Linked DNA regions of Notamacropus eugenii. Each later gene encodes a partner of the first gene's protein in a complex. Links are inferred from orthologs where the notes say so. Each region holds a gene or a part of one and is shown on either strand. Other genes may lie near its edges.

Region 1 (16,322 bases):
CCCATCACCAGAGTCTGAGAGGCTTGCCCAACAGCTCACCTGGGGAGGGACTTGGAGGCTGCTTGGGGCTCCCCTCAGCTGGCACTCCTTCCTTTGAGGAGGCCCTGTCTTGTGAGGCTTTCAGCTGGCTATGAGAGAAGAGCTGGAGCACGAAGCCTGGTGGGAAGCTGCCGTCCGTGAAGTGTCGGACTTCGGTGGGCGCTGAGAAGGGCTCTAAGGTGACATGTGGAAGGGGGAGGAATGCTGCGGAGGGACAGAGAACAACATGGCAGTCACTTTCCTTATGTTTGGACGCTGAAGAGGCTGGGCTGGCTGGTTCCTAAGGTTTAAGCTCTGGCAGCAACATCATCACCACTACCATCATCACAATCACCACCACCACCACCATCATCACCACCACCATCATCATCATCACCATCCCCACCAGCATCTTCATTACCACCACCACCACCATCATCATCACAATCATCACTACCACCATCACCACCACTACCATCACCACCACCACCACCATCACCACCACCATCATCATCATCACCATCACTACCACCATCATCGCCACCACCATCATCACCATTACCACAATCACCACCATCATCATCACCACCACCATCATCATCACCACCACCATCACCACCACCATCACCACCATTACCACAATCACCACCATCATCATCATCACCACCACCATCATCACCACCACCACCACCACCACCATCATCATCACCATCACTACCACCATCATCACCACCGCCACCATCACCATCACTACCATCACCACCATCATCATCATCACCATCATCATCATCATCATCACCACCACCATCACCACCATCACCACCACCATCATCATCATCACCATCACTACCACCATCATCACCACCACCATCATCATCACCACCACCATCACCATCACCACCATCATCACCATCACCACCACCACCATCACCATCATCATCACAATCATCACTACTACCATCACCACCACCATCATCATCACCACCAGCATCATCACCATCACCACCATCATCACCATCACCACCACCATCACCACCACCACCATCATAATCATCATCATTACCATCACCATCATCATCACAATCATCACTACCACCACCATCATCACCACCAGCATCATCACCATCACCACCATCATCACCATCACCACCACCACCATCATCATCATCATCACCACCATCCCACCACCACCATCATCATCACCATCACTACCACCATCAGAACCACCACCATCACCACCACCACCACCATCACCATCGCCATCATCATCACCACCACCACCACCATCACCATCGCCATCATCATCACCACCACCAACACCATCACCACCACCATCACCACCACCACCATCATCATCACCATCACTACCACCATCAGAACCACCACCATCATCACCAAGATCATCACCACCATCCCTAGTATCTATATAGTACTTTGGGTTTGCAAAGTGCCTCTTCACAGGTGATCTCATTTGAATGTTACAACAACCTTGGCAGGAGGTGCTATCACTATCCCCATTTTACAATTGGGTAAACTGAGGCAAACAGTGGTTAAATGACTTGCCCAGGGTCACCCAGTTAGTGTCCCAGACAGGATTTGAACTCAGGTCCTCCTACTCCACTGCATCACCTAGCTGCTTACATGCTACACTCTTTGATTTCAGCTGCCTTAGGTCCTCTTCCTCCACAACCTGGCATTCCCTGCTTAATTTTACTCAGATGATTTTGTACCCATTACCATCTTTTATCATTCTAATTTTCCCCACTGATTTCCAAGCCCTCAGCCTGTTCTTTGTTCTCAAAGATAGGCCAAGGCTGCCACACCCTAGTTCCCTCCCAAGCCACTCTCTCCTCCCCTCCCCATCCTGACCCCTTGGTAAACCAGTTCAGTGCTATCCCCTCCTCTTCTCTCAGGTTCTGTGGATCCCTGGATCACTCTCACCACCCCCTGCTGCTGAAGGAAGCTGGACACCCCCACAGACCCCTGCTGACTGGGCCTCACTGCTGCAAGGAGATCCTTTACCTAAACCACCCCCACTGACTCCCTGTGCCACTCCTCATGGCAACTCTCCTAAAATGTCCATCCCTCCCCTTCTGGTCCCATCTCTCCAGTCCCAAAGAGCCTGGTCCTGCCCCCGAAACTCAGGCTCAGTACCCCCTTACCTGGGCTTGGGACTGAGGGCCTGGCCATGGTCTTGGCCCTGGTAGAAGTGCGGCCCCTCCCCTTCTTCTTCTTGGGAGGGGCTTCTCCAGACAGCTCCTTACATCTCTGGTTCCGCAACTTCTTGGTCCCTCCTTCTATGGCTGGGGGAGCTGCTGACAGAGAGTGGCCCAACTGTGTGAAAGCCTGCCCATTAGCCCGGCTCCTGGCCCAGAGTGGCAGCCCTGTTCTGCCTGACCCTGCTGTGCCTGCCCCAGCTCCCTCTCTCAGGGGTCTGACCTGGAGGCTGTAGGGGCCGGAGTCCCCGGGGTCGGTTCCGAGTTGACTGTGATTCAGGCTTTTCCTCAGAGTCCAGAAGCACCACAATCTCAGCTGGTGTCTCAGGAAGATCTGAGGCAGAGAGTAAAGCCCCTCAAGACCCTGACTCCCCCCAGCTCTGCCCCATGGCCCCCCCTCAGTCCCCTCCTACCTACCCCTGCTGGGGGAAGATGGAGACTCCAGGGAATCTAGCAAGGCCACGCCCTCGCTCCAGGCCTCAAGGATGTTGCTCTTCTCCCCGGGGCTCAGGCCCAGGGTGTGGGGGTGCTGGCGGAGGATGTGGCGCCGGGCACTTCGGGCGGAAGGGGTGGGGAGCTCCTGGCCACATACCATGCACAGGGCCCGGCCACTGCCCCCAGGGCTGTTCCCTACCAAGTACTCTTGCTCCCAGGACTGCAGTGGCTCGGCCTCCTCTGTAACAGCAGCACTGGTCTCTGGCTGGCACTGCCCAGGGAGGGGGCTGTTCTCAGGTTGTCCCACTAAGGAAGGGCAGGGGAGTGAGACAGACAAGGGAGGGGAGAGAAGGGAGCTCACCGTGAGAGAAGCCCAGGATGCCAACCCAACAGGAGGGCTCTTCCCAGCTGAAGAAAAGCCTTCCTCTTCACCATCCTCCCAATAGGCCCTCCCCACACCAGCAGATCATGAGTAGCCAACAACATCTGTCTCATGGAGCACTCTCACACTCACATATGGTACCCTCAACCCAGGGGGCTTGGGTGGAATTGCCCCCTCCCAAGTGACTAATGTTCCTCACCGCCAGATCCATCAGCCTTTGCTCACAAGCCTCATTCTCCCAGAACCCTCTGGAGGAGAGTCTTCTCTTGGGGTTTTGGGGCTACCCCTCTGTTCTCCTCCTCTTGATTGCATCCCCCAAGCTCGATCCCAGACCCTCTTCTCCCTACTTTCATACTCGTCCCCTTGGGGATCTCAGCATCTTCCCCATGTTCGGTGATCTCCTGTGTGCACTCAGCCCTAACCTCTGTCCTCAGCTACATCTGGCATCAGTCACCACCTGCCTCTCAGGCATCCTGAACCAGATGTCCCCCAGGTTTCTCAAGCTCTATCATATGACCAGAGCAGGACTGGCCATGTTCCTGCCATCTTTCACACTTCCTAGGGGAGCCTGGGCACTGGGGGTCTCCCTCGAGCCCTTGCTCACAATTCCTCCATGGTTGGTTGGCAGGTTTCCCCTTCACAGTGTTTCTCCCCTCCCCAGCCTCAGCCTAGGCCCTCATCACCTCACACCTGAACTATAGTGCCAGCCTCACTATATCCCTGCCTTGACACCCCCTCCTTTCCATACTCCACCTGGCTGCCAAAGCAACCTCTTCATGCCAAGGCTAATACTTTGGCTCCTTGGGCCACCACGGGGGCACACAAATGGGCCCTGATGCATTGTGGGCAGTCTTCCCCAGCAGCTCCCCACCTCAGTAATCTCCCTCTGGTGTCCCTTCATGACTCCACCAGGGTCACTGCCCACCCTGGGGGCTCCTGTTCTGACTACATCATCTCCCACCTTGAGTCTTGAATGTAAAATGTGCACCTTAAAGACTCGGCTCAAGCCACCAGCTACGACACCAGCTGTCAGCACCTCGCCAACAAAATTACCTTGTTTAACTCTTTGTGGACTTTTATCTATGTACAGGGACCAACAAGAGCTGTCCAGGATGGGCAGCAATCTGTGCCAACAGAGGGAATTTCTGAACCAAGGAGATCACAGATGCACTGGAGTTCCCAGGAGCTGTCTCTCTTTGTGCCCAGCACATAGTAGATGCTTCCTGATACAGGGACTGCTACGTGTGAGTGAGGATGGAGGAGAGAGCTGGCTGACAACCACTGACCTCCTTTCCTTGCCACATCTCTCCAAACCCCCCTCTCCCAACTGTTTCCCATCCCTAATTCTGGACAGGTCTAGAGGAAGGAGTCCTTGGATTCTGAATGGCAGCCCCTCTGTGTGGCCTCTCTGTCCCAGGACCCCGGGCTGCCAAAGTCCAGGAGTGTACTTTGATGGCACCTCTGTTCATTCCCACTCTGGCCTTCTGTATCACCCCCATTGGTTTTCAAATGTCCTACAAAAACCCCACTGCTTATAGCCTGCAAATTTAGAAAACTGTCTCTGCCCAAGTCTCAGAAGAGAGGTGGATGGCTACTGGGACAGGATGGTGCCTAACTGCCACAAGAAGACCTTTTCTTGGTCTTTGCTCCAATTTTTATTTGTTACAAGGGAAGGTCCATGGAGGAAGGCACATTGAGAAATTGATGTACTGTAAAAAACAAAAGAGACACATCCACATTTAGGTCTCACTTCCGTGGGTGCTTCACCAAAAGTCACTGAGAGAAGCAGCAGCGGGTGGCTTCCCAGGACCCAGTGGTTCAAGATGGAAAATTCAGATATTTAGACCCGACAAGAGCTGGGTACCTGACAGCCTTGAAGGCCAATTCCAAGAGCTGGCCCACCCAGGGTTTAGGGGTGAGCGAAGCAGCCCTCAGCAGACTGCAACAAGTGTCCTCTGCACTGATACCCACAATCCACTTTTCCCACTCAGCTTACCCCAGGTGCCTCCCTCCAAGCACCCAGGCACTGAGGCAGAAATGAGGAGCAGGGAGCAGACCCTGCCCTTGAGAAAGGCCCACTCTCCAAGGCAATGTTCCCCCTGCAGAATGGGAACTCAGCACTTCTGACGCTGCTGTGGCCTCCCAGGTTAGGGAGCCCACACTACCAGAAACCAAGGGAAAACTCAGCTATGTCTGCAATGGGCAGGGATGCAGCCCCCACCCACAGCATCAGGGAAGTGAGGCCTGTCCCCAGCTTCCAGGGACGCCTACTGCCAAGAGTCCTATTTTATCACAGGCCAAAGGCAGAGCACTTGGGCCCCAGGGACCTCTGCAGGGATGCCCATCTGCACCTGCTCTGGGGGGGAGGAGGGGGGTGCTTAGCCATTCCAGAGAGAGACACCAGGAAGAGGCAAGAGGGAAAGACTGAGTGGTGGAGAAGGGGCAGGGAGAGGAGCAGAAGAGATGAGGGGGGGAAGGGGGAGGATGAGAAGGAGAGGAAATATAGGGAGGGAAGGGGATAAAAAAGAGGGGGAGAAGAGGGAAGAGGGAGTGGGGAAGGAGCAATGGCTCACCCTCACTGGATCCCACTCTCAGGAGCAAAGAGCCCAGCCAGCCTTCACAGACACCCCCAAATCATCAAGACCTCTGCACTGCTCTGTCCCTGTGGACAGCCACTCCTGGTGCTGCAGCCTGGGGGATGCACCACCAACACGGAGGATTTACGGGGTGTCTATCTGCATTTTGGTGGATGCCTTCCCCAACCAGAATGGAAACCCGGATGAGGATGTCTCCCTTTGGTAGGGCATCCCCAACCCTTGGGAAGGTGCTCGCATACATTAGGCACTTCATAAATGCTTGTCTTTTTCATTCATTCACAACTAAACCCCAAGCCATTCCAGACCAATCCCGCCTCTGGGTGACCTCATGACCTTGCCGGACCTCCTTTTCACCTATTATGTGTTTACAGGTATATATGTGCAACACACATACATGTAATAGAATTATACACACTACATATGTATATGTAGATGGAGGAGGCCTTTCTGTAAACATCAATCTATATGTGCATGTGTGTTTATGTACATGTGAATACACACATGTACAATGGTAAAGTTGTATTTAGACACATGGAAAAATGAGGAGGGTCCCTGGGATCCTGTGGGTACCCTTGGACAAGTTACCTGCCCCAGAGGGACAGGTTTCCAGGGGAGTGGGGGGTGAGGTGGAGAGAAGAGGCAGATGGTATGGATCACATCTATGTGTGCACACAGGCCCATACAAACACATATGTCACGTGTGTGGATACACTGAGCAGTTTGCACAGGCAGCATGTACACAAACACGTCTCTGTGTGTACGTGCAGACACGTCTATGTCTACATACAATTACATGGGCAGCAAGGTGGTGCTGCACGGATAGAGGGCTGGGGCTGGGGTCAGGAGAACCTGGGTTTAAATCCAGGCGCAGGCACTCCCTTGCTATGTGACCCTGGGCAGGTCATTACACCCCGCTTGCCTCAGTTTCCTCATCTGTAAAATGCGCTGGAGAAAGCAATGGCAAAGCACCGGCGGGACCTCTGCCAAGAAGACCCCCCGGGGTCACCGAGGGGGGGCACGACTGAACACGGAGCCACAAAATACAGTTACAGACACGGAGATGCGCACGCGTGCGCACGCAGTCACGGATGACACGAGGCGTGGGGGCCACGGCTTCGCAGCCTGCCCTCGCACCCGCGGGCGGTCACATTGTCCGCACGCGTGTCCGTCCGTCCGTCCACACACGGTGCACGTGCGTGCACAAGCCTGGAGGCGGATTTCGGGAACACGGGGCACGGAAGCGCATGCCCGGGTCCCCCGGGCCCCCCCAGGACGCCCCTGCACGGTACCTGGCCCCGGGCCGTAGCGTGACAAGGGCAGCGGACGAGGGGGGCCCCATCCCCAGGCTCCCCCTCCCCCTTCTTCCGTTGGCGTTCCTCCCCCTCCCCCCTAGCTGGACGTCGGCCTCAGGCCCCCCTGGGGGGCAGCCCCGCCCCGCCGCCCCTTCCCCCTCCCCCTCCCGCCGCGGCCTCACCTCGGAGCACCGGCTCTCGCAGCGCCGCGGGGATGGGGATGGCGGGCTCGGCAGGGGGCCCGGCGGGCGGCAGGGCGCGGCGGCGGCGGGGCGGCGGGGGCCCCCGGTCCCCACCCTCGTCCCCGTCGTCCTCCACTTGCACCTCCTCCACGTCCTCGCACTTGAGCGTCACCTGGATGCAGTCCAGCGGCGCGGGCTCGGCCTTCAGGGCCATGGTCCTGCCTGGCGGGGGCGGAGAGCGCGGCTCAGCGCGGCCCGGCCCGGCCCCACCCCCGCCCCTGCCGTTCCCCGGCCGGCCTGGGCCCACCGCCCGCCGCCCGCGTGCCGCGGACCTGCCGCCGCCCAGCCCGGGTCCTCCCCGCCACCATAGAGTCTGCGGACCCCGGCGGGGGGAGCGTCCTCAATCCGGGCCCCTCACCCGGCGCCGCTCTCCCGTCTATGGTTGCTCATTGTCCGAACCGGGCCCGGAGCCCGCCCCTAGGCCCGCCCCGCGGCCGCCCGCCGCCAATCGCCGCCCACCTTGCGCCTCGCGAGCCCCGCCCCCTGACGCCGGGCCGGCAACGCTGGCGGGGAGCTCTCGGGCGCCCCCAGGCGGCGCAGCGGCCGCAGGGCAGCCCTCCGAACGTTCCCCTGGGGGAACAAAAATTCAAACCGGCCAAAGTAAAGTGCAGTCTGGGCCCGGCCTGGGAGGACGAGGCCCGGTCTCGCCTTTGCCTTCCGGGCTGGGGATGCAGCAGCTAAGGAGGAGCATTGCTCAAGTGCCTACCGTCTGCCTAGCCACGGGGCACCGCTCAAGCGCCTTCTGTCTGCCCAGACACGGGGCACCGCTCTAGCGCCTACCGTCTGCCCAGACACGGGGCACCGCTCAAGCGCCTACCGTCTGCCCAGACACGGGGCACCGCTCAAGCGCCTACCGTCTGCCCAGACACGGGGGCACCGCTCAAGCGCCTACCGTCTGCCCAGACACGGGGCACCGCTCAAGCGCCTACCGTCTGCCCAGACACGGGGCACCGCTCAAGGCGCCTACCGTCTGCCCAGACACGGGGCACCGCTCAAGCGCCTACCGTCTGCCCAGACACGGGGCACCGCTCAAGCGCCTACCGTCTGCCCAGACACGGGGCACCGCTCAAGCGCCTACCGTCTGCCCAGACACGGGGCACCGCTCAAGCGCCTACCGTCTGCCCAGACACGGGGCACCGCTCAAGCGCCTACCGTCTGCCCAGACACGGGGCACCGCTCAAGCGCCTACCGTCTGCCCAGACACGGGGCACCGCTCAAGCGCCTTCTGTCTGCCCAGCCACGGGGCACCGCTCAAGCGCCTACTGTCTGCCCAGACACGGGGGCACCGCTTAAGTGCGTACTGTCTGCCCAGCCAAGGAGTACAGCTCAGGCACCTACTGTCTGCTCAGACATGGAGCACTGGTTAAGTGCTTACTATGTGCCCAGACAAGGAGCACTGCTTAAGCACCTACTCTCTGCCCAGACACAGAACATTGATTAAGTGCTTTCTATGTGCCCAGACACAGAGCACTGCTGAAGTGCCTACTGTCTGCCCAGCCATAGAGTACAGCTGAGGCACCTACTGTCTGCCCAGACATGGAGCACTGGTTAAGTGCTTACTATGTGCCCAGTACTGTGCTAAGTGCTAGAGCTAAGTGCTCTAGACAGAGACAAAAAAGGAAGTAAGACAGGTCATGCTCTCAGGGTGACTGATTACACTTGGGGAGAAGGAGAGCCACAGCAAAATAAGGGGGCTTCGATTATCCAAAGTGGAGCCTCCACTGTGACAATTTCCAGACTCTAAATCAAGTTTATTGTATTTTAATTGTTTTTTTTCAATAGAAATATTCCTTTCCCACCCAAGTCTCAGGGCTGGAAGGGTTTTCTGAGGGTGCCCTGAATGTGCTGGGTGGTGTCAACTTAAGAGGATTCGACTCCTGATTGGGCTGAGAAAATGCTGAGCCCCTGTGTATCTGGAGAAAGAACTAAAAAACCCATTCTTGTATTACTGTCTTATTTTTTTTCCATGGCCTGAATTTCCCCTTGCATTCATCCCTCTCCTCCCTCCCAGAGAGCTATGGAGGAGTGATGTATAAAAAGCTTGAGAGATATAGAGATATAATTCCTGGGTAATTAATCATTTTATTAATTGTGGCTAGCAAATACTTAATAAAGGATGGTCATTTAGCCATCTCTCATGGACCAAGGAAGGATGATGGCAGCCTATTGATACTTGTATGCCCTTGGAAGATTAGGTGTTCCTGATAGTTGGCAGTCAACTCTGATTAGTGAACAATTAATGAAAATAATGAATATTATAATGGGAGGCGGATCCATTCTAATGAGGAACTGATTATGTCAGTTTTACTCCCAGATCAGTCCCTCCCATCCCAGGGCAATCTAGACAAAAGCTCTACACACATTCACACTCACACACACATGCACACACACACACACACACATGCCTGAGTAGAATAAGTTGGGTAGGATCTGAACAAGATTGAGGAAAATGTTAAATCCAGTCTCATTATCAGCCCTATTCTTCACAGGCTGATTTGACCTAGAAGAGAATGATGACATAGGAAGGGAAAAACATTAGTCCTTATTCAATAATTGGTTATTAAAGTGAAGACCTGAGTTCAAATCTAGCCTCACACACTAACTGTGACTATGGGCAAGTCACTTAACTTCTGTCTTCCTCAGTTTCCTCAACTGTACAATAGGGATAATAATATCACCTATCCCTCAGAATTGTGGAGAGAAGAAAATATGATAATATATATTTTTAATTAAATTATTTTATTTGTTTTCAGTGTTCAACAATCACTTTCATGTATCTTAGATTTTTTCCCCTCCCTCTCGCTCCCTCCCCCTCACTTCCCACTTCCTCCCTGAGATAGCATACAGTCTTATATAGGTTCTACACATACGTTCCTATTAAATACGTGTTGCATAGAAGAATTAAAATAAATGGGAGAAATCTTAAAACAAAACCAAACAAAGCAAAACGTAATACAAAAGAAAATGGTCTGCTTCTATCTGTGATCCAGTCCTTTCTCTGGATGTGGAAGGCATTTTGCCTCGAGTCCACTGGAAATTTTTTAAGTCCTTGCATTACAATGAAGTACTAAGTCTACCAGAAAAATTCCTCGAACACTGTGGTTGTTGCTGTGTACAAAATTCTCCTGGTTCTTCTCCTTTCGCTCAGCATCAGTTCATATAAGTCCTTCCAGGCCTCTCTGAAGTCTTCCTGTTCATCATTTCTTATAGCACAATAGTATTCCATTACATTCATACACCACAACTTGTTCAGCCATTCCCCAATTGATGGGCGTCCCATTGATTTCCAGTTTTTGGCTTCCACAAAGAGAGCTGCTATAAAATATTTTTGTACATGTGGGACCCTTTCTCATCTCTATGATCTCTTTGGGTTGGAGTCCCAGAAGAGATATTGCTAGATCAAAGGATATGTACATTTTTGTAGCCCTTTGGGCACAGTTCCAAATTGCTCTCCAGAGTGGCTGGATCAGCTTACAGCTCCACCAACAATGAATTAGTGTTCCAACTCTCCCACCTCCAACATTTATCATCTTCCTGTTTTGTCACGTTAGCCAATCTGATAGGTGGGATGTGGTACCTCAGAGTTGTTTTGATTTGCATCTCTTGATTTAGAACATTTTTTTCATACGGTTATAGATAGTTTTAATTTCTTCCTCTGAAAACTCCCTGTTCATATCCTTTGACCATTTATCAATTGGGGAAAAATATGATAATATCTATAAAGTATACCTGGTAGTAGCAAACCTGGTAGTTTGCTGTTGTTCAGTTGTGTCGAACTCTTCATGATTTCATTTGGGATTTTCTTGGCAGAGATACTGGAGTAAGTTGTCATTTCCTTCTCCAGCTCATTTTACAGATGAGGAAACTGAGGCAAACAGGGTGAAATGATTTGTTCAGGGTCACACAAGGTCAGATTTGAACTTCCTGACTCCAGGTCCGGTGCTCTGTCCACTGTGTCACTAGCTGCCTGAAAGAAAAGAATCTGATGGACATCATATACACTCTAGCGCTCGTTATTATTAGGCTCTACCCACAACACCCTAGCTTGGGGGAAGGCTGGGAAGTTTAGCGCTGAGAGGGCTATTAAGCCAGAATGACCCTTATCAGTCACACCTCTGATATCTCTAGTCTTGGGCAGGACTGGAAGGGGTTCAGATTAAAAGTTACTCTTAAAGGTCGCGGCTGACCTTAAACCCTCTGGATTCGCGGCTTCCTCTGCTCCTCCCCTGAGACGATACCGCTCAGCACCTCCCAGCATCTTTCTGCTTAAGACGGAACAAGCCGGGCAATATTCTAAACGTAGTTTGCCCTTCGTTTTCCATCTCTCTTTTTGGCAAGTCAAGTGTTTACCAACTGAAATCTTTTGGGGAATCTTTTAGTCTCTTTGTTAAGACAATCGATTTACATCTTTTAAAAACACAGAGCCATTTCAGTATTAGGGTATGTGCTAGGTACCGGGGAGAGGAAAACAAACCTCAAAAATTCTCTCCTTCTTTGGAAAGCTTCCATCCTAGGAGAGGAAGGTGATAAGGCCAGGACTATGAGGTCTGAGGTAGAAGGAGTCTTCCTTTCCCTCTTCCTGCCCCCTTTCAGCTTTCTTGTGTGTGTTGAATTCCCATTTCGATTGTAAACTCCCGAGAGCAAGACTTGTCTTTCTTTTTCCTATTTCCATCTCGAGCTCTTCGTCAATAGTCAATAAATATTTATTAAATGTCCGCTATGCGTCAGGCACTGTGCTAAGAACAGATGCTACAAAGAGGACCAGAACATAGTAGGCATTAAATACGTGTTTATCGACGGACTCACCAGCGGTATTGGAGTTATGGAGTCCGACCTACTCTTTTGAGACTCCCTTTGAGGGTGTGCGCTTTGCAGGGTGCTGAACAAGCGAACTCCGTTCAGGGCAATTCAGAGCTGCCCTGTCCAAGCGGCTCACTGGCTTTGCTCTCTAAGTGAGACGCTGAGTCAGAATCAAGTAGGGGACTCCACTCCCTTCTTTTTTTAAGGAAAAAGGAATCCCAGGAGAGGTTGGGGACAGGGACGTGGTCAAAAAGCTTTCCCGTCATCCCGTCCAGAAGCAGGAGTCTTCCGCTGCCCTGTGTGCATCGCTAAATGCCCTGCTTGCCTCCGCTACGCTTGAGAAAGGGGTTCACGGGAAAGGGAGAAAAGACATGTCGTTATCACCTACCTATTCTCTTGCAGGAACTCACACAGTATCGGGGACCCTCTGTCCCTCTGCCCGGAGGGCAAGGAAAGAGAACAAGGTTAACATCTCATCTCCCACCGGGCACCCGCTCATTTTTTTACTTGGGCTCCCTCCCTTGTCCTCCTCTCTTTTCATGATACCAATCACACCCTCTCTCTTCAGCTTTCTTTCCTATGTTGTTCCCCGACCCCGACCCCTCCCACATTGTAAGTCAAGGACCATCTTTCCTCAGCACAGTGCCTGGCACATAGTAGGCACTTAAAAATGTTTGTTGGTGAAAAAAGGCCTGAGCTTGCTTCTTGCAGTCATAAACTGCCAGAATGAGCAGTTGGTTCTCAGGCAGCCAGTCATCAAGAGTCAGCTCCAGTCTCTAAAAACCAAGTGATCAGATTCCAGAGGGGGTACTCACCCTCTCACCCTTTCCTGGGGGAGCCCTTCACCTTCCTCCAAACAATGGCCTGTATAATCTCATTAGGTTGTTGGAAGAAACCCTCAAATTGACTGGTGATTCCTCTGCTAATCCCCCATGGTCTCCCATAAATCAAACAGGGTTCACATTGGTCCCTATCCCTGATCCAGGATAGCTGTCAGGCAATTTGGGGAGGGGGCCCAGCAATTGTCCATTCCGCACAGTCCTTGACTGACTATCCCCCAGAATTGTTGAGAGGAGAAAATATGATAATACATATTTTTAATTAAATTATTTTATTTGTTTTCAGTGCTCTGCCCTCCATGTCATGGGTCCCACAAAGTCTGAAATGCCCAGTTTTTAGACATTCCCCAAATTAAATCTGGTGAAAGTGGTCACTTCTCATAATTAGGGGTGCCTAGAGCTTCCACCCCTCTTTCCCCCAGTACATAGCTGGACAAATTCAAATTTTCAAAATTCTCATAGCTCACACCTGTGTTAAGTTAAACTCTGAAAACAACACTTAAGAACAGCAAAAATAGATTTTAAAAAAGAGGCAGAGGGGGAGAAAGTCCCCCTCTCCCCAACCCCTCCCCCCATCTAGTCAGATGAATTTCTAAGGCATATGAGGCTCTTCCAACAGTGATTTGAGACTTTGGGTTAACTGAAAGTCAAACTCTCACATCCAAGGGAGAAACCAAACTGCCTTGGATAGAAAATTCCTCCAATGGATTTCTGCATTAATAGGGCAATCCAAATGGAGCATGCCTGGAGAGTTGAAGTTGATGAGGCTTCAATCCTTTACCCTCTGGTCACATTTTAAAAAATGAATTGAGCCAGCTTTCCCTCCAAAAGAAAGGATTCTTGGGTCCCAGACAAGCCATCCAAATGCATTGTACAAGGGGGCATGCTGTTCAGCACTGCTCAAAATTGAAACATCCGAGGACAGATCAACACAAGATCATAGAGACCATCGAGTGAGATGCCTTTACTTCACAGCTGGGTAAGTCAAGGCACAGGGGTGGCATGGCTTGTCCAAGGTCTTATAGCTAATTATCATCCAAAGCAGGATTTGAATCCAGTTCTTCTGAAACTAAAGACAGCATTCTTTCCAGTATCCTCTGTCCCAAACCATTTCCTTTAAAAAGGGCATTATCCATTTGGGTCAGTTGGAAATTTACCATCCTTTCCATCTCAGAAGAGCCTAGCATGGGTCAGGTCCTCTTCAGGTCCTCTCCAAACAATGAATCTCGCCTGTGGGTTTGTACTGTTTGCTGGAAAGCTCCTACTCAGATCATCCCCTGCCCATTTGAGGAAGAAACTGAGATTCAGAAAAAGCAGAAATCTGCCCCAAGTCACAGGGGTAGTAGGCAGCAGAATTGGGATTTGAAGCCAGGTCTTGTGACTCTAACACTGTCCATCCAATTGCCTTGCCTCCTTGGGTTGCAGCCCCCAGAAGCTCTTTGGGGGGCAAAAATAGGCTCAGGATTTTTTGTGGTTTTGCATCACCAGAGCCTCATTTATGGCCTGGCACATTGTAGGCACTTATTGAATTCTGACTGTGAAACCATTCTAGGTCCTAGTGAAGCAGGTAAGTGACTGGTCAGGAGTCTTGGCTCTTGGCCAGGTAATGTCTGAGTGACCAGGGGGTAAATCCCCTCCTCTTTCCTGGTCTCAGTTTATTCGTTTCTAAAATGAGGGGAGAGATGGACCCTAAAGACCTGTCTCTGTGGTAGGGGGAGTCTTGTACAGTACAGTATGCTGGAATAAGCGGGAAAGACAAGTGTAAATCCAGCTTCAGGACTTTACTTTGTCCCCTCCAGGGCTCTGACTCAGTCTCCTCCTCTATAAAATGGGGACAAGGGTAACTGTGTTCCATAGTGGACCTCCCAAGGTGACAGACAGGAGTGCCGGTCCCTGAAGGAAAGGATACAAGAAGTTCATCTGAGGATTTCCGAGTGACTGGGGTTTGTCCCCAAGACAATGGTGACCGGTGATGTCTACCACACACATAGCGCATTAAGGTTTGCAAAGTACTTTACCTGTTTTACCTTAATTACAGCAACAATGATAATAACAATTAAAACATACATACTCCAATGGTGCCAGGAGCTGTGCCAAGCATGGGGAATACAGAAAGGGGCATGGGACAATCCCTTACCTAAAAGAGTTCACAGTCTTAATGGCAACAAAATCTTCCCTCTCTCTAGAAGGCCAAGTGTCCAAAAACTTAAACTCCGTAGCTCTCGAACTCAGGACAGCCTGTGAGGTAGCTGCCAAGGTGGGGACGTCTATTTTTAGGATCTCTCCTTCTGCCATGTGCTTCTGTAATGCTTAATGATTAATGAATAATTAAAGCGCTTCATAAATGTTGATGGACTGATGCACCAAGAAGACAGAATCTAGAAGACAGTCTGCCCCAGCCCCCAGCATCCTCCTTAGAGAGCAAAGCCAGTGATCTGCTTACATAGTGAAGGGGGAGGCTTGTTTGACAGCTTCAAAGACCTTTCCCTTTGGGGGATGGACATGGCCAGTGGACAATTTGCTAGTTGTATATCTCTATATTTGTTCTGGGGCTCCTGGGAGAACCTGCTCTCTTGCTCTCTTTTTTGGGGGGGCATGAAATAGAGGCTGTTGCATACCCTAAATCTACAGTATACATGGAGTTCCTAAGTGGAATTTGGGGACCCTGTTACCCACATTTAAGGACAATCTAGATATGAACTATACCTGAGTGTTGTTTTAAAGATTTTCCAAAAGGAAAACTGTGGGTTTGGAGTCAGGGTCAAGGAGAGAAACTGCTACTTTGGGGTCTTTTCCATGATCTAACTCAGACCATGTGAGCTGAGAGTCCTGGCTCACAGGTCACAGCACACAGGACACTCAGCATTTGAAGAAGCAGGAACACAGGGCCACCAGCTGTTTCCTCCAGCTTCCCCTGGCCAATTCAAATAGACTGAGGTAGAAATCCAAGCATTTCTGGCTCCCTCTACTTTCAAAGGCCTTACATGCTCAGTAACCAAATTTCCTGAAATGGAAATCAGGACTTTGGATCCAACAAAGCACACAGTAGGTCCCTTTCCTCTCCATGTGTATACACACATATCTACAAATATTCACATGTATACATACATGCTTGCTTGTGTATATACATGTGTATGTGGCCCATATGTTCATGCATGTGTAAATATCATGTGGCACAATGCTCCTACACACTGTGAGCACTTGACTCCATAAATTTTCTTTTGGAAGCCACATTAAAATAGATTCTGTCTTCTGAAAAGGACTACCCTGGTAGTGCCTCTCTCCCCCAGGCTCTGTGAACATTTGTCAGACATGCTCTCTCCTCTTGGCAGCCTTTCCTGGGTCTAGAGGCAGAAACACTTTCTCTGCACCCAGTTCTTCAGCCCACGCTTGGCCTCACAGGTCGCAGGCTGGGTGGGGACCTCAGGGGTCCCCCACTCCTGCCCCTCGCCTGTCTTCCCTATGGAGACCACCAGCAGGGGGAGGATGCCCAGCTCCTCC
Region 2 (16,513 bases), on another chromosome or scaffold:
AAAAGCTGAGAGATTGTGTGTGTGTGTGTGTGTGTGTGTGTGTGTGTGTGTGTGTGTGTGTGTGCAGCGGCTTCATTTTAAGACCCTGTCTTACCTGCTCAGAGATGCCTTGCTTCATTCTAAAAGAATCATGGCTTGGGGATTTTACTACATGTAAAATCCATCTCTCAAGACAGTTCTGAGCAAAGTGCTTGGTAAGCCTTAAAGCATTATTCAAATTCGAGTTGTAAATAACAAATAAATTACTAATGAATCATCAATGAATTATTAAATTAATTAATATATAATAATAACAAATAATAGTACTCTTCCTTCTGTTGCCTAATTCTATAAGGGTAGGAACTGTGTTTTTTCTATACTATGTGTCTATCCTAATGGTTAACACAGTGTTCTGTATGCAGGGGATGCTTAATAAATATTCGCCGATTTAAATTAAATTGATTCCCAACTCTTTGAGCCTTCTACCTCTTATCAATTGGCAGCAACATCGTAGGATTCCAATGATGATCTCCACGGAGAGGCGTATAACATGTATCTTGCCACCTTCTACATCTTTCTCACACTATCACCCTTCCTCCTCCCCCATCTTTCATGGCATTACTGAAAAAAAAATTATAAAATCTGCATTGTGAAGTAGAGAATACTCCTGTTAAGCAAACTTAAATGTTACATTTTCCTTAAATGACAAAATTTCATGCTTGTATTTCTCTGGAGCCTTATATCTCATTTGGTATGCACTCCCATATTAAACTTATGTGTAATAGTGTAGTTATTCCAATATAGGCTCTGGCTCACTAGTCTGGAAGTGTTGCCAAGGAGACTCAGGACACCAGAAGTATCTATGGCAACTAAGCAGACTTTTCCTCAGATTTCTCAGGACTTGTGATGTTGACCTTGGAATTGAAGACACTAGGAAGAAGAAGGATACAAAGAGATACATTTTGACCAACCAAGATGAATGAGTTGAGGCACAGACATGATCACCCAGTCTCTCAAGTATTCTATCCCAACCTGTGGAGCAGATCAATTTTCTTGTGGATGATGGAGATCGAAAGCTGCTGGGTAACTGGAATGAGCTTGGATTCCTGGGCAGTCTCTACTCTTTCTTTCTTCCTGCTCAATAAAGAAAGATGGAAGATCCCGTGTCCTGCTTTACTGTGAAATGATCACTTTCTCTTCTCTTTCTGCCCAGAAAAGGGAGGAGGAAAGAGAAGAAACAATCAACTCATGCTTTATAGGTTTTGTTAAGGGTAACAAAGAACAAAGGGTAACTTACGACATCCTATCAGGTATAATGTGAGCTTGCATATATTATATCTGGGCTCACCACTATTGCACATGAGCTCTGTTAAAAGGAAGAGCAAATTTAATAGGCTTGTATCTTATATTCTTATTCCTCTCCCAAATTACAAACTCCATGAGATCTGAAACAATAATTAAAATATACAATTTCTAGAACAATAATAACTATACACATACATACATTTGCATGTATGTATACTGTATATATGTGCACATATACACATATGTAAAACAGCTATTATTTCATTTGATACTTATAACAACCCTGGGAGGTAGGCTATTATTATCCACATTTTACAGATGAGAAAACTAAGGCAAACAGGATAAGCGACTTGCCCAGGGTCACACAGCTAGTAAATATCCGAGGCTAGATTTAAACTCAGATCTTACTGATTTCAGGTCCAGCCTTATCCATTAAGCCATCCAGAAAACCCATAGAACAGTGTTCTGCACTCAATATGTTGCACCTATGATAATGGATTGGTGAAAGATTTCCCAGATCTGCATTGAATTAAGTTCACACCGCTTTAACTGAATTTTTAAATTGAACTTTTTCTTCTAGTCCTCAGAGTTTTAAACATTGGAGGTGGGATGAATGTGAAATGTTGTGATTTAGGAATTACCTTTTGAATAAGATCACTTGAACAATAAAGATTGAATTGTTCTTTTTTTAAGTTGTGTATTTTGAAACAATTTTTATAAATATTGACCAAAATTTTTCCATCTCAAGAGAATTTTTTAAAATTATAACTTTTGGGCAAGTGTTTTTTTGTGTATCTTTTTTTATTTTAATCTACAGCTTCTAATGGGGTCCCAGATCAGCATTCCATCTCCCACCTCCAAGGCTTTGTATACATATATAACATTTCTCACACTTAAAATGTATTCCCTCCTCAATTTTACTTATGAGGTGCTAGGGTGCTTGTGTTTGGACCCCAATTCCAAAATCACATTTCTCCCTAGCCTCAAAAAACTATCCTTGATAGTTTTCTCCCCCGCCTATGCCTAGCAATAACTCATGAATGGATCCCAGTAAGACAAACTACCTTGCCCTGCAATTATTCATGAATGGGCCCCCAGTAAAACAAACTATCTTTCCCCATCAAAAGAACAAACTGACCTCTAAAGAAATTCTCTTGTAAAAATAGGACTATCTTATAACCACAGAATTATCATGTACTGATTCCCAAAGTTATGATATTCAATCTAGAGGTCAAGCTATATACATCAACTTTCAAAGCTATCTTGCTATAGACATAATAGACCAAAAATACAGCTCTGAGAAATTTCTTACTCCCCCCCATTAGCAGTAGTGAATGAAGCCTGTGACCAAGGTTGTAAGTTATCACCTAATTAGCATATCTGATAGATAATTCACTACTTTCCCTATATAAGCTTTAACATCACTCACATCACTCCTATTAAGTCGCAGGTTTGTTAAGGAGCTCTGCCCACTATATTGGCATTACAATAAATCTTTACCAACTTCACTTGAAGAATGCTTGAGTCTGTAAATTCATTCCAGATGACCCTTTCCAATACTCCATTTCTTGAGGGGTCCCTGAGACCCCCACCCCAAGTCTAATCTCATCACTACCTCTTGAGCTTCTTTCTAGGATCAACTCAGATACTTCTTGAAAAAGCCAGTCATTAGTGTCTTTTCATTCCTTAAGTTACCTCATATTTACTTCTTGACTTACTCATTTGTTTCTAGAATATAAGGTTCTTGAGGGCCACTATAAGTTTTCCTTTGTCTTCTTATCCCTAAAGTTCAACATAAGGGTCTTGTATATAGTGTGAGCTTAAAATTTTTTTTTGCCAAATTGAATTGAACCTCTTCCTTTCTTTCTGACATTCTTTGACCACTTTTGACCAGCAGTGACAGGTGAGATTGGATTGGATTCAGAAAATTATTCCTCTTAAAGTTCTTAGCCACTACACCAGCAGTATCTTATTTGAAAATTTGTCTAAAGCAATTACTTAATTTTAGAAAATATACTGATATTCATCATTTTTAAGATACTCAGCATGGTGTCAATCATGGTCTCAGCAACTTTAATAGTTGACTCCCTGTTAGGGGCAAACTATTAGAGTTACTGTTGAGTAACTAAATGTTGGTCTAAATGTGTATATAATCTTCACCTCACAAATTTATGGACCTATGGAACATTAGATTTAGAACTGGAAGGGACTGTTCACTTTGAGACACAACCCCATTTTCAGAAAACAAAACAGTCCAGAGATTTACCTACGTTTATTCAGATAACAAGTCACACAGATTTGAAACCTTGATTTCATCTAGTCTCCCTCCTTCTTCCTCATGCCACATACGTAGATGCTGAATCTTGTTATTTCTTCCTCCAAAGCATCCCTTACAATTGTCTTCTCAAATGTCAGCTATTTTAGTTGAAGTCCTAGTGATCTCACACCTGGATTCTTTCAATAGCTTTTCAATTGGTTTCCCTGTTTCAAATTCCTCTTTTCTAATCCAATCTCCTGCTGCCACAGTGATTTTCCTAAAGAGTAAATCTGATCATGTCACTCTCCTACTTAGTATGTTAGTTCCTTATTGCTTCTAAGAAAATATATAAGGGTAACCCAGGGCTCAAGTACATTTGCATAAGGCATACATTGCCTTTATTCATAGGAAATGGTTACTCAACAGCCCATACCTATAGAAGGGGTAGAGCTTGGAAGAAAGATCATTGTTCTGGCTTCCAGCTTCAAGAAAGGACATATGTGACTCCAGATCCTTTCCAAAGAGAGGTAACTGAAGGGAGAAAAAGACTCTAAGTAAGGGAGCTGGCACGTCAATTGTGTCTTTATCCCCAGCTTATCATGCTAGAAATTTCAGGCAATTTCCCCATAGATGAGATCTAGGACTCTCTGTCTCTTATGATAGAATTGAACTATTTCCTTACTGATGGGAAGTTTCATTAACTCTGAGAATTATTTGTCATAATCTCATCTGTGTAACTTCTCTGATTCCTATTTACTTAGGCAAATGGCTTAGGTAAACAGGTTTATTTGCTATCCACTATGTTTGGTATTTGTATAACTAACATTTGTTTGGAAGGGAGTCAAGCCTTTGGAGTCAATCTTTGCTTGGAGCACTCCTTCCCCATTAAAGGAGAGCAATCAGGAGCAAAGCTCGAACCTAAAAATTATTTCCCCTAGACTAACAATATTTAAGTGCAGAATTAGATAAAATCATCCAGCTTCATGTTCTCTAGAGATGTCTATTCACCCTTTCCAAGGAGCCACGTCTAGATAGTTGTGGAGTCTTATAACCCATGTTAGCAACACGCACATGCACACGCACATGAGCACACACACACACACACACACCCTAGCCCAAATCTACCTGTCTAGCCTTATCATACGTTACTCTTCAAAATAAAATTGTCTTTACCATTCCACATACAAAGTATTCTCTCTCCTACTACTGTGACTTTTCCCCTGCCTATTCCTTATTCCCTCCTTTACCTCTGCTTCTTAGAATTCCTGTTTTCTTTCAAGACTCATTTTAAACTCCACCTTCTCCCTGAAGTCCTTCCTGATCTTTTCAGCTCCTAGCACTTTCCCTCTCAAAATTATAAAAATTCCAAAATAAATTGTATTCATTTTGTATGTATTCTGCATAGTATGCCTTCTGAACTATAAAATGGACCATAGCAGATTTGGAAAGAATCCTAACAAAAACCTGTACAATATTAAGAACACATAGAAGTCTAAGACACCATTACTACTTTTGATCAAAAAGAAGAAAGAAGACTGATAAATATTTATCGTGTACATAATAAACAGCTCAGAAACCCACAAAAGTATTTCTAGAATAAGCAGGTATACCTTCACTAAACAAAACCAAAGACGATAACAAGGTTGCACCACTGGATTTGCTAAAGGTAACTAAACAATGGCTTACCTCCTGATGGAACTCATAAAACTAATATCCAGGAAGAGAATCAGAAAGTCCTCCATGAGTTGCATCGACACAAATATGGTGAAACAATATTTTGATATAAAAGTGTCAAACAAACATCTGGGTCACGTTATTTCATTTGTGAAGATAAAGAGGTTTATGATGGTAATTCTGGGTTATTGCCAGCAGTCAAGCCAAAATCTAGGAAAGAGGATGCAGGCTATAAGCATTTATTTAGTACCTACTAGATAACAAGTATTGTGCTAAGTGCTTTATGGATGTTTTCTCCCACAACCACCATTACAGGTAGGTGCTGCTATGATCCCCAGTTTACAGTGGAGGAAACTGAAGCAAAGAAAGGTTAAGTAACTTGCCCAGGGTCACACAACTAGTAAGTACATGAGGATGGATAAACTCAGGTCTTTCTGATTCCAGGCCCAGGGAGGGCCCTTTATACCACACCACCTACTTTCTTAAAACTATCTGCAGCTGCTAAAGTCAAAAAGTAATTTCAAAAACTACAAAAGGGTAGTCCGAGATGCATGAGGATGACGATGATGATGATGATAGTAAACAACTCTGGAGTGAACAAAATATTCTTCATGGGTCACATTAACTAAACCACCCATATGTATGTGTATATACACACACGTGTGTGTGTGTTGAACAAATTTATTATCACAAGGATTTATTTGTAGGATTTTTCAGGTTGCCTTAGGGAATTTCGGAGACATTTGGAGTTTGACGCTTCTGATCTTCAAAATGGGGTTTGTGATAGTGACACCATAAGATCAGCTCGTTGGTACAGAGTTACAGAAAAGTCATCCTTAAGAAGTCTTGACTGATTAACGCAGGTTATTTATGGAGATAGTAAAAACTGTACAACATTTCACTGGTGGACATGTGGAAAGCAATCTAAACCTAAGCAATACTAGTCTCAATATATAATTTTGGAATGATAAAATGAAACATAACAGGTTTTGATAATATCTAATAACTAAAAAACTCATACAACATTACTAAAAGTCTAGCATTGAAAGAAAGGATGAAATTTGAAAATTTTCTTATCCAAAAAGAGCAAAGAGAAATGATGCCCCAAGAACATATGATAAACTGCTGAAAAATTTAACAGAAAACTTTTGGAACAAGCAGACATCATTTCACCATGGAATAATGAAGACTGACAATAGGTAAGACAATCTTGAACTTCTTAGATGTAGTTAAAAGTAGTTGAATCCTAGATAGAGACTAAACAATGGTCCAAAAGTTTTTAGGAAAGGAGGAACTTCTAATAACAATTCTAGATCAGGTTATTAGCACCAGAAATTATAGCACGGCTACTCTTAAGGAAGCCACACTTATTGATCAGTGCAGATTATGCAAGGAAATAGTGGAAATATTGTAACCCATTAGTGAAAGCTCCAAAAATTTAGTGCCTACCAAATACCTAACAAGCAATTACCTGGTACCTAGAATTATAAATTAGCAGTTCACTGTCTTTTATAAACCAATGAAAAATTCCACATACTACAAACATGAAACTAAAAATATTCTTTAGGATTCACCAACAGCAACAAAAACTACAAGAAGCAGAGCATTATCTCAGACAAATCTACTGTCAACAACCACTTGGATATAACTTTGAACCATTAAAATTTAAAATCAATGATTTTAAGAGATGTTGCCATAGCAAATACTCATAATTTTCAAGTTATGTGAAATATGAAGCTTTGAAAATACAAAGAGCTAGCGGAAGAAATTAAAATCACATGGGAACAGGATGAGGTACATATCATCTCTGTCATCCTATCTGCCACTGGAGTTATCGCAAAAATACTACTTTTAATTGGGCCTACAGAATATGAGTTTGGATCCCATCACTTTCATTCAATTACAAAAAAAGTATTATTTTATATTATTATAATTTGCCTGTGAAGTATTCTGCAGAGTACTAAAAAAAGAAAAAAAATAATTTATACCAAACCATTTCTGGCTGAATTCCATCAAAAAATGTAAGAAAGAAAAGCAGTAATAGTGATAATAACCAACATTTTTAAAGAGTTTTAAATCTTGCAAAAGATTTTACATGTATTATTTCACTGAGGCTTCACAGCAGTCCTGCAGTATGTGTAGTATAGGTACTGCTATACCCATTTTAGAGATTAAGACACTGAGGTTCAGAAAGATTAAGTGACTTGGTCATGCTAAAATAGCTAATGTCATATTCAAGATTTGAACTCAAGTCTTTCTGAATCCAATTCTATCACTGTTCACTGTTACTCTACTTTTTCTTTTATGATCACAGATTTACCAATTATTTGAAGTTCCCCAAATTGCATGCCATTTTGGTAATTTCCCCACAAAACTTATTTTTCAATCATAACAATTTTTAAACCTATCAATTAAATCAATCAACAAGCATTTATTAAGCATTCATTATGTGCAAAATACTTAACAGTGCAAAGGACTAGGGATATAAACTAGAGAAAAATGAAACAATCTCTGCCCTCAAGATGCTTACATTCTAACAGGGGAGATAGCATGCAAATATATACATTTTAGCACCCATTCTGAGCTCATTCTCCCAATCTCTATTAGGTCTAGTGGGCCAAATTCTCAGAAAGAGACCAACTTCTTCATCCAGAATTTTTCAGGATAACTCTGAGACTTGAGGTTTTTCTATTAGTATTGTTGATGAGCCCCCACCAGTGTGATTCCCATTTACTATCCATTTGATATATATCAACAAGGATGTTTACTAAAGTGGTATAGTAAGAACAATTGGTACAAAACATCACCCTCCAAAAAAATGCTTAAAAGATAGTCTCTCACAAATACACACAGAGTAAAGTGTGTTCAAGCTTAGAGAGAACTTACGGTCAATGGGTAGTTAACTCATAGCTCCTAGAGTTATATGAAAGTTCCTTTGTCCCTTCCTTCAATCTTCATGAACTTCTCCTGAGGTGCCCTTGTAAAATCCTGAAGTTTCATTTCTTTTACTTCACTTTATTCATGTTCTATGAAGCTGCCTTTACTGTCTAGTTTTCTCTCCTTCAGCTGCAAGATGGATGTATTGCTTGTTCCTGGTACAATCTCTTCAATGACATGAACAATGGGAGGGAGGAGGAGTGTGACACTCCCTATGACCTCACTCACTCCTTGCTGGCTGCCCACTTATACAGATACAAAGGCCTGCCTTCTTAAAGCACTCTTGAAGCTTACCTCCTAAAGTAGATAATGGATTATCCCAGTGGAAGCTCCTTCTCTAATGTACATAGGATCACAGGTATGTCTATTTCTTTCAGCCAATTTCAATATATTTCATCATCTTATTTCATCTAATGGTTCAAAGCACTTTATTCCTTCCTATCTTAATTTTATGTTGTATACAGCTAACTTATACCTTTGATTTATTAACTCTGAAATGAAGATACTAGGTTGTAAAGCATTGTGTTAGTTATTTTAATGGGGTGGTGTTTGAAACACCTCTCTTACATAAATGTATATAAAATGCATCCAAAATGAATACAGAGTAGTCGGGAAAGGGAAATCACTAAAAGCTAAGAGGATCAGGAAAAGTTTCACGTATAAAGAGGCACTTGAGTTGTCATAAAAAAATGCAAGGATTCCAAGAGGTGGTGATGAGTAGTGAGTTCATTCCAGGCATGGGACATATACAGAACATAAAGATGGGCACTGGTATGCCACATGTATGAAACAGTGAATACACTTGTATGGCTGTGTCTCATATGCATGTGAGGAAATAGCATGCAGGAAGACAAGAAAGGTAGAAAAGGGCAAAATTTAAGGAAATCTAAATGTCAAAATACAGAATATGTACAAAATGAATACAGGGGCAGCTAGATGTCACAGTGGATGGAGTGCTCAGCCTGGAGTCAGAAAGATTCATCTTTCTAAATCTGACTTCAGACAAGAACAAGCTGGGTGACCCTGGGCAAGTCACTTAATCCTGTTTGCCTTAGTTTCCTCATCTGTAAAGTGAATTGGAGAAGGAAATAGCAAACTACTCCACTATCTTTGCCAAGAAAACCCCAAATGAGGTCATAAAGAGTTGAACATGATTGAAACAACCGAACAACAAATGTCAAAATAGTAAATTTTAATATTTGATCCTAGAAATAATAAGAAACCACTGGAGTTGGTTGAATAAGACATGTGACATGATCAGACCTGTGCTTTAGTGAAATTACTTTAGTGTCTCTGTACAGTATGGATTCTAGTGGGGAAAACTTGAGGTAGAGAGACTAATTAGGAGATTATTACAAGTAATCCAAGTCAGATGTGATGAGGGCCTGAAATGGGCTTGTGGACTTGTGAGTGAAGAGAATGGGACATTTGTCAAACATAGTATGGAAATATAAACTGCAAGTTTCAATGTGGCATAAGTATGTGAGAGTAGTAATCAAGGATGACATTTAGGAATTTGGGTGACTAAAAAGATTGTGGTGCCTTCAACAGTAACAGGAAAGTTCAGAAGGGAATAGGAGATGATAATGAGTTCCTTTAGACATGCTAAGTATGAGATACTATGTCACATCCAGCTTGCAATATTGAATAGGCAGTTGGTGATGTGAGACTGGAGGTAGGGAGAGAGAGCTGGATAAATAAATGAAAATTACGAACAGAGATGAAACTGACGAGACCATCAAGTGAGAACATATGGAAACAAAAGAGAAGAGAACCCAGGATAGGGTTTTGGGGGATACTCACAGTTAGTGGATGTGACTTGGATGAAGAGCCATCAAAGGAGATGGCATTCAGATAGGTGAGAGGAGAACTTGGAGAGAGCAACAAATCAAAAACCTAGAGAGAAGAGAGAATTTGAGGACTGGAGAGTACCACAAGATGGGAAGTCACAGGAGAGATTAAGTCTATTAAGATCACCTATTGAATACTTATTTTAAAAATAATGCTGACTACTTTCAAAGCACAAATCTTTTATTACAGTAAAATTCAACAGATTTTAAAAACCTTTGTCCCTTATTTCTTTTGAGGGTGATGTTTTGATTTCTATAATCCACACAAAATTCATTCAATAGAGCTGGCTTGCTTATCTATATAGAATTTCCTAAAAATTAACGTATGAATCTGTGTCTGTCTGTACATATATGTATATATATGTATATATATACACACATATAAAATATGTACATATACATATATATGTGTAGGTATAGGTATAGTATATATGTATACATACTTAAATGAATCTGTAACTTCAGGAGTTTCAACCAAGAATACAAAATGCTTTCTCATCCTGTGCAACACTCATTATGAGAGTACAAAAAAACCCCAACACTTTGCCTGGCCACCTGTCATTCATTGTGCTCATCACATGACCAGTACACCGTCTTCTCTTTCTGTCATACTAAATGTGTGTGAGTATATAGATATGTATGTATGCATGTGTATATATACACATATATATACATATACATACATAAGTATATGTGTAATATAAATACAGGATATGGATACAGATATGGATAATAGCGATCATATAAATATAGATTATATATCAATACAGAAAGATAGATAAATATTTTTTTACTGAACTGCCATGGTCTTCTGGTTATGTATATATGCATGTATTTGCACATACGCATTCGAATAAGGACCTTGGTGTCTGGTACCCTATCCTGCCAGATGATCCTCAGAATCTTTCTAAGACAGTTCAAATGGAAGCGATTCAGTTTTGTGGCATGGCGCTGGTAGACTGTCCATGCTTCATAGGCATACAACAATGAAGTAAGTATAACAACTCTGTAGACCTTCAGTTCGGCAGTCAGTCTAAAACCTCTTCTCTCCCATACTTTTCTTTGGAGCCTCCCAAACACTGATTTAGCTCTGGCAATGCATGCATCAACCTCATCAATGTGTAAACCCCTGGAAAGTACACTACCAAGGTACCAACTTCTCCATTTGTTGTAATCAATGTTTCTACATATGGATGGTGTAGTGCTGGCCAATGGAGCACCTGTGTTTTCTTGGTGTTAATTATTAGGCCAAAATTATCACAGGCAGCAGAGAATTGATCCATAGTTTGTTGCATCTCAGCTTCAGAGGTTGTACAATCATCTGCAAACAGAAAATCATGCACCAACACTCCCTCCACTTTGGTCTTGGCTTGTAGCCTTTTCAAATTGAAGAATTTACCATCAGTATGGTAGCTGACCTTGGTGCCCTGTTCATCCTCATTGAAAGCATTTGACAACATGGCTGGAAACATCATGCTAAAAAGCATGGGAGCAAGCACACAGCCCTGTTTCACTCCACTGGTGACTTAGAAGGCACAAGAGCATTGTCCACTATCCAGAACCTGGGCAAACATGCCATCATGAAATTGACATACGATACTGATGAACTTCTCTGGGCAACCAAATTTTGACAAAATTTTCCATAAGCCCTCACAACTCACAATGTCAACGGCCTTGGTCAGATCTACAAACATTGTACATAGACCTCTGTTCTGCTCCTGGCATTTCTCCTGGAGTTGTCGAGCAGCAAACACCGTACTGACTGTTCCTCAAGTCTTTATGAAGCCACACTGGCTCTCAGATAGATGACCATCTTCCAAGTGAAGGATGCATAACTCTGATGGGCTGGTCGCATTGTTTGAAAGCAAAATGTACACTTGCCAATAAGACTATTTTATGGAGAACTCACATGGGGCAGGCGACCACATGGTGGTCAGAAGAAACAATACAAGGATACTCTCAAGGTCTCTCTCAAGAACTTTGGATTTGATTATGCGGCATGAGAGACACTGGCACAGGACCACTCAACATGGCATGTCCACATCAGAAAGGGTGTTGTGCTGTATGAGCGAGGCACAAAGTGAATGTAAGATCTGTAAATTTGAAGTATTCATCCCAAATATTCACATGGACTATCTGTGCCCAGTCTGTGGTAGAGTATTTCAAGCCTGTATTGGTCTGATCAGCCACAGTCAGACACATTGAAACCTGAGTTTATCATGGTGATGTCATTTGGTCCTCTTTGAGAATGAAGGACAACAGCCAAGGTATGTACACATACAGGCATGTGTATGTATGTCAGTACTTGGCACTTTTCCAAATTGTAGGTATTGACAATATACAAGCACATTGGTTCACACGACTTAAAAAGTAAATATTTATCATTAATCAGAAGAAAGATAACACAGAGCAATGGATACAGAGTCATCCTTGAAACCAGGAAGACTTCAGTTTATGTATTCTGACCCATACTGGCTTTGTGACTCTGGGCAAACCTCTCATTGCTCAGGGCAACTCTCTGAGAATGTAAATTACAGGTGCAAATCTGCTTTAATAAAATGAATTTCCTTGGGAGTTCCCTACACCAATGAAATCAGAGGTCTAGTCCTGATCCCCACCCCATCCCCATAAATCCTGAAATCAAATAGTCTCACTTCATAACCATACTGAACACTGAGCAAACATCCCCCTGCTGTGTCCCCTTCTCTCTCCCCCTAACCCCACCTACCAAGGACCACTATAACCTCATAACAGAGTAGAATTCATAGGGCCTCAACTGCACAAGCCATGTTCATTCTTTCAGCCATGTCATATTTATCATTTTGCTGAGTTTCCAACAATTTCTCAGTCTTTCTTAACCCAGTATCCCTAAGTCAAACTCATCTTCTCCTCATAGAACTTTGATAACTCTCCTGCTGCTTTATACTGGTCAAAGTACCCCCCACAAGAAATGTTTTAACTCAAAGGCAAAGATAGAGTTCTATCAGACTTCCCTTGTCTGGAGGCCAAATGCAATTAGACTTTCTGCAAACCTTGTATCCAATTCTGCCACAGTCCCTATAAGAATTCCTCTCTGAGTCTGTTCCATATACTGAACTCTTGCAAATTTCACACTTTTGGGATCACTCCTAATTCTCAGGAGTACAATTCAGCCAACTGTGAACCTTCTTGGGGCCCATGTCCAGGAAATATGAAAGTTTCCTTCTCCCATCATTCCTGGTGACATTCTGGAATAACAGGAGGTAAAGAAATGGTGGTAGTTGGTTGAGAAAAACTAAACCACTCCTCTTTTTCTCCTCTACTACCCAATCCGTGCACAGTTTGAAGAAATATTGCAGCCCTCCTTCCTCAGTTTTTATATTATATGTATTTACTAAATTATATTAAATGTATTTATATTAAATGTATCTCATGTACTGTCTCCTCTTTGGGTTCACTTTCCTTAGTATTCTAATTTTCTGACTGTAAGGGATCCACATCTTTCTTTTATGAAATTCTGTCTTAAAATTTTTTAGTGCTTTCAGTCTCAGAAAATATATGTCCAATGACATATTTTAAATTTCAAATAATTTTAGAGCCCTTTGTAAGGAGGTTACATAGAATCAAACAACAAAATAAGAGCAAATGACTTGGACACAAGCTGAAACTAAAATGGCAAATGAAATAATCACTTTTTAACAGCAATTTCCCTTTATGAGAAAGCCACAAAAAGAAGTTAGAGTGTATGAAAGGTAAAGGGATTACAATGGGATCAATAAACAGAAGTCTTCAAATATCAGAGGCTTTATCCTTTATAGAGTTCTGAGCTGGAAGTACTTTTGGAATTCAGAAGGACAAGACAAAAGTTAAGAAGTACACAAGTTGATGTGGTCATGGATATAGAAGAGAATGAGAATTGACATGAGTTGCAAGAAATGAGTATTAAAAGGTAGAACTGAGAGTGAGGAAAGTTTCTGGTTGAGTTATATATTCTTTATGTACATATTCCAAGGACAGGAAATAAATTCAGGGTTTGATCATTTTCCTGAGTATGAAAACATGAAAGTAATTGCGTCTGGTTAGAAAGGGCATCACCAAATGAAGAAAGCATATTTTAAGAACCACCAACCTTTCCATCAATTACTCTGTTTCATGTTGTCTACTTTAGTTCTCCAAGTTGTCACTACTAGGTTTATTTCCAAAAATGATTAGATAAAAAGGAAAAGAACCTATGTTCTAAAATGTTTATAGCAGTTTTTTTTGTGGTGGTAAAGAATTGGAAATTTCAGGGATGCCCATCAATTGCAGAATAGCTGAACAAGTTGTGGTATATGATTGTGATGGAATACTACTGGGCTATATGAAAGGATTAGCTGAATCATCTTAGAAAAACATGGAAAGATTTGCATGAAATAATGAAAAGTGAAATGAGCAGAACCAAGAGAACATTGTATACAGTAACAGTAATATTGTTTTAAGAAAAACTTTGAGGAAATAAGTCATTTTGAATATTATAAATACACAAATTAACTATAAAGGATATATGGAGAAAGACTATCTGCATATAGAGAAATAACTGATAAATAGAAGTATATATAGAATAATTTATATTATATAGTATACACACGTTATTTACATATGTATATATACGAGACATAAAGAGAAAGAGAAAAAAACACCTATTTATGTCTAATGGTGGCTATTCCTAGGGCAAGTGGAGGGGGGCAGGGAAGGAAAGAAAAGAAAGAAAGGAAAGAAAATTACATGATACATTTGTTGCATATTTTAAAAAGAGTAGCAGGTTGTACATGGTAGATTTGCAATTTCATGTGCAATCATCTTTTTTAATTATACTATATTATGAAAATGTTTGTTCTATTCCATAAATTAAACATAATATAAATTTTTATAAATAACAAAAATAAAGAAATAATTAAATAAAGAAATTTATCATAGAACCATAGACATAGGTCTGATTCATCTCAGAGATTATCTACTCAAACACCTTCATGTTGCAGATGAGTAAACTGAGGCCCAGGAAAAGTTAAATAAATTGTCCAATGTCAGAAGTGTGATTTAAATCCAAGGCAAATGAATGTAAATCTTATCAACTTTTTCAATTGGAGGTTTACTGTAAATCTAAATGAAAATGAAACTACATATTTTTAATTTTTCTTTATTATAATCTTGATAAATATGAACATTATGTACATATAAACTCATAAATTTCTATTAAATATTGCTTTAATTTTAAAGTACACATTGAATCAGTCAGATAGGTGACGCAGTAGATAGAACACCGGGCTACAGTCAGGAAGACCTGAATTCAAATCCAGTCTCAGATGTATACTAATTGTATAACCCTTGTCAAGTAACAACTTCTAATTTGCCTCAATTTCCTCATCTATAAAGTCAGGATAATAACACCTACCTCCTAGGGTTGTTGGGGGCATCAAATAAGATCATAATTGCAGAGTTTAGCATAATGTCTGACACATAGTAGGGATTATGTGTTAGCTTTTATAATTAATAATTAATTGTAATAATAATTAGTAACTGCAATTATTTGCCAAAGAGTTAGGAAGTACATTTCATCATTTTTTGTAGTTGTGATCAGTCAATGCATTGATCAGAGTTCTTAAGTCTTTTGAAATTGTTTTCCTTTATATACTATGACTACTATTTTAAAAAATGGTTTTCTTGACTTCACTCTGCATAAGTTGAATTCAAGTCTATCCAAATTTTTCTGAATCATCTCTTTTGTCAATTTTTTACTGTATAATAATATTCCACAGCATTCATGTATTGTAATTTGTTCAGCCACTCCACACTTGATTGGAATCCACTTTATTTCAAGTTCTTTGCTATAACAAAAAAATGACACTATAAATATTTTAGTATATATGGTTCCTTCCTTCTTTCTTTGATTTCTTTGATATATTCTGAGTAATGGGTCAAATTGTTAGTTTAGTGACTTTGGGAAAGAGGTAAAAAGTTGTTTTTCATGAGAGATAGCAATTGAAAATGCATAAAGTTGAGAGATTAAATGTCTTGTTGGAAGAAGAGTAGAGGACAGTATTACTAGATCCCAGAGTAAAGTAAGGGGAGGGAGGGCAGGGGTTGAGGTTTAAGAATATTGAAAAAGTAGGAGAGGGGAAGGTCATGAAGGTCTTTAAAAGCCAAACAGAGAATTTCATATTTGATTTTAGAGATGATATGGAACCATCAGAGTTTATTGAAAGGAGTATGACACAGTCAGACTGAGCTGTAGGAAGATAAATTTGACAGCTGAGTAAAGGATAGACTGAAATGAGCAGAGACTTGAGGCTCAGAGGTCAACCAAAAGATTATAAGGTATGACCTTGATGAAGAAACATTTTACTGAATTGGCAAGGGTGATGTGTTTAACACTGTTTTAAGAAGAGCGATTTGACAGTGGAGTAGAGGATGGAATAGAATGAGAAGACAGGACACAGTGAGACCAATCAGCCAGCAATAGTCCAAAAGTGAAGCGATGAATACCTGAAACAAA

What was found.
Region 2: the proteins of SPINDOC (region 1) and SPIN1 are in contact, whole or in part, in a crystal structure (PDB 7CNA), measured with the Homo sapiens proteins. The link is inferred for Notamacropus eugenii from reciprocal best matches to the Homo sapiens genes SPINDOC and SPIN1. Residues at the interface, in NP_612480.1 of Homo sapiens: Phe256, Ala258, Pro259, Ala260, Val262, His264, Phe265, Thr266, Asp267, Ser269, Phe270, Pro271, Gly273, Phe274, Val275, Leu276, Gln277, Leu278, Phe279, Ser280; in NP_006708.2 of Homo sapiens: Met154, Thr169, Tyr170, Glu171, Pro174, Pro206, Val209, Val210, Leu213, Lys216, Gln217, Val218, Glu219, Tyr220, Thr229, Val232, Val242, Tyr243, Ile245, Phe247, Asp249, Asp250, Tyr254, Val255, Tyr256, Asp257, Leu258, Val259, Lys260, Thr261.

Annotation. Positions count from the first base shown.
Region 1 is NC_092873.1:16,654,152-16,670,473, reverse strand, and holds the start of SPINDOC (spindlin interactor and repressor of chromatin-binding protein), read right to left. Parts: upstream 7,580-16,322; 5' UTR 7,573-7,579; coding exon of another isoform or gene 7,541-7,572; 5' UTR 7,455-7,540; intron 7,345-7,454; coding exon of another isoform or gene 7,337-7,344; coding exon 7,123-7,336; intron 2,976-7,122; coding exon 2,652-2,975; intron 2,569-2,651; coding exon 2,458-2,568; intron 2,334-2,457; coding exon 2,181-2,333; intron 244-2,180; coding exon 40-243; intron 1-39. UniProt on the Homo sapiens protein: Chromatin protein that stabilizes SPIN1 and enhances its association with histone H3 trimethylated at both 'Lys-4' and 'Lys-9' (H3K4me3K9me3).
Region 2 is NC_092874.1:368,717,534-368,734,046, forward strand, and holds the start of SPIN1 (spindlin-1), read left to right. Parts: upstream 1-8,416; 5' UTR 8,417-8,510; intron 8,511-16,513. UniProt on the Homo sapiens protein: Chromatin reader that specifically recognizes and binds histone H3 both trimethylated at 'Lys-4' and 'Lys-9' (H3K4me3K9me3) and is involved in piRNA-mediated retrotransposon silencing during spermatogenesis.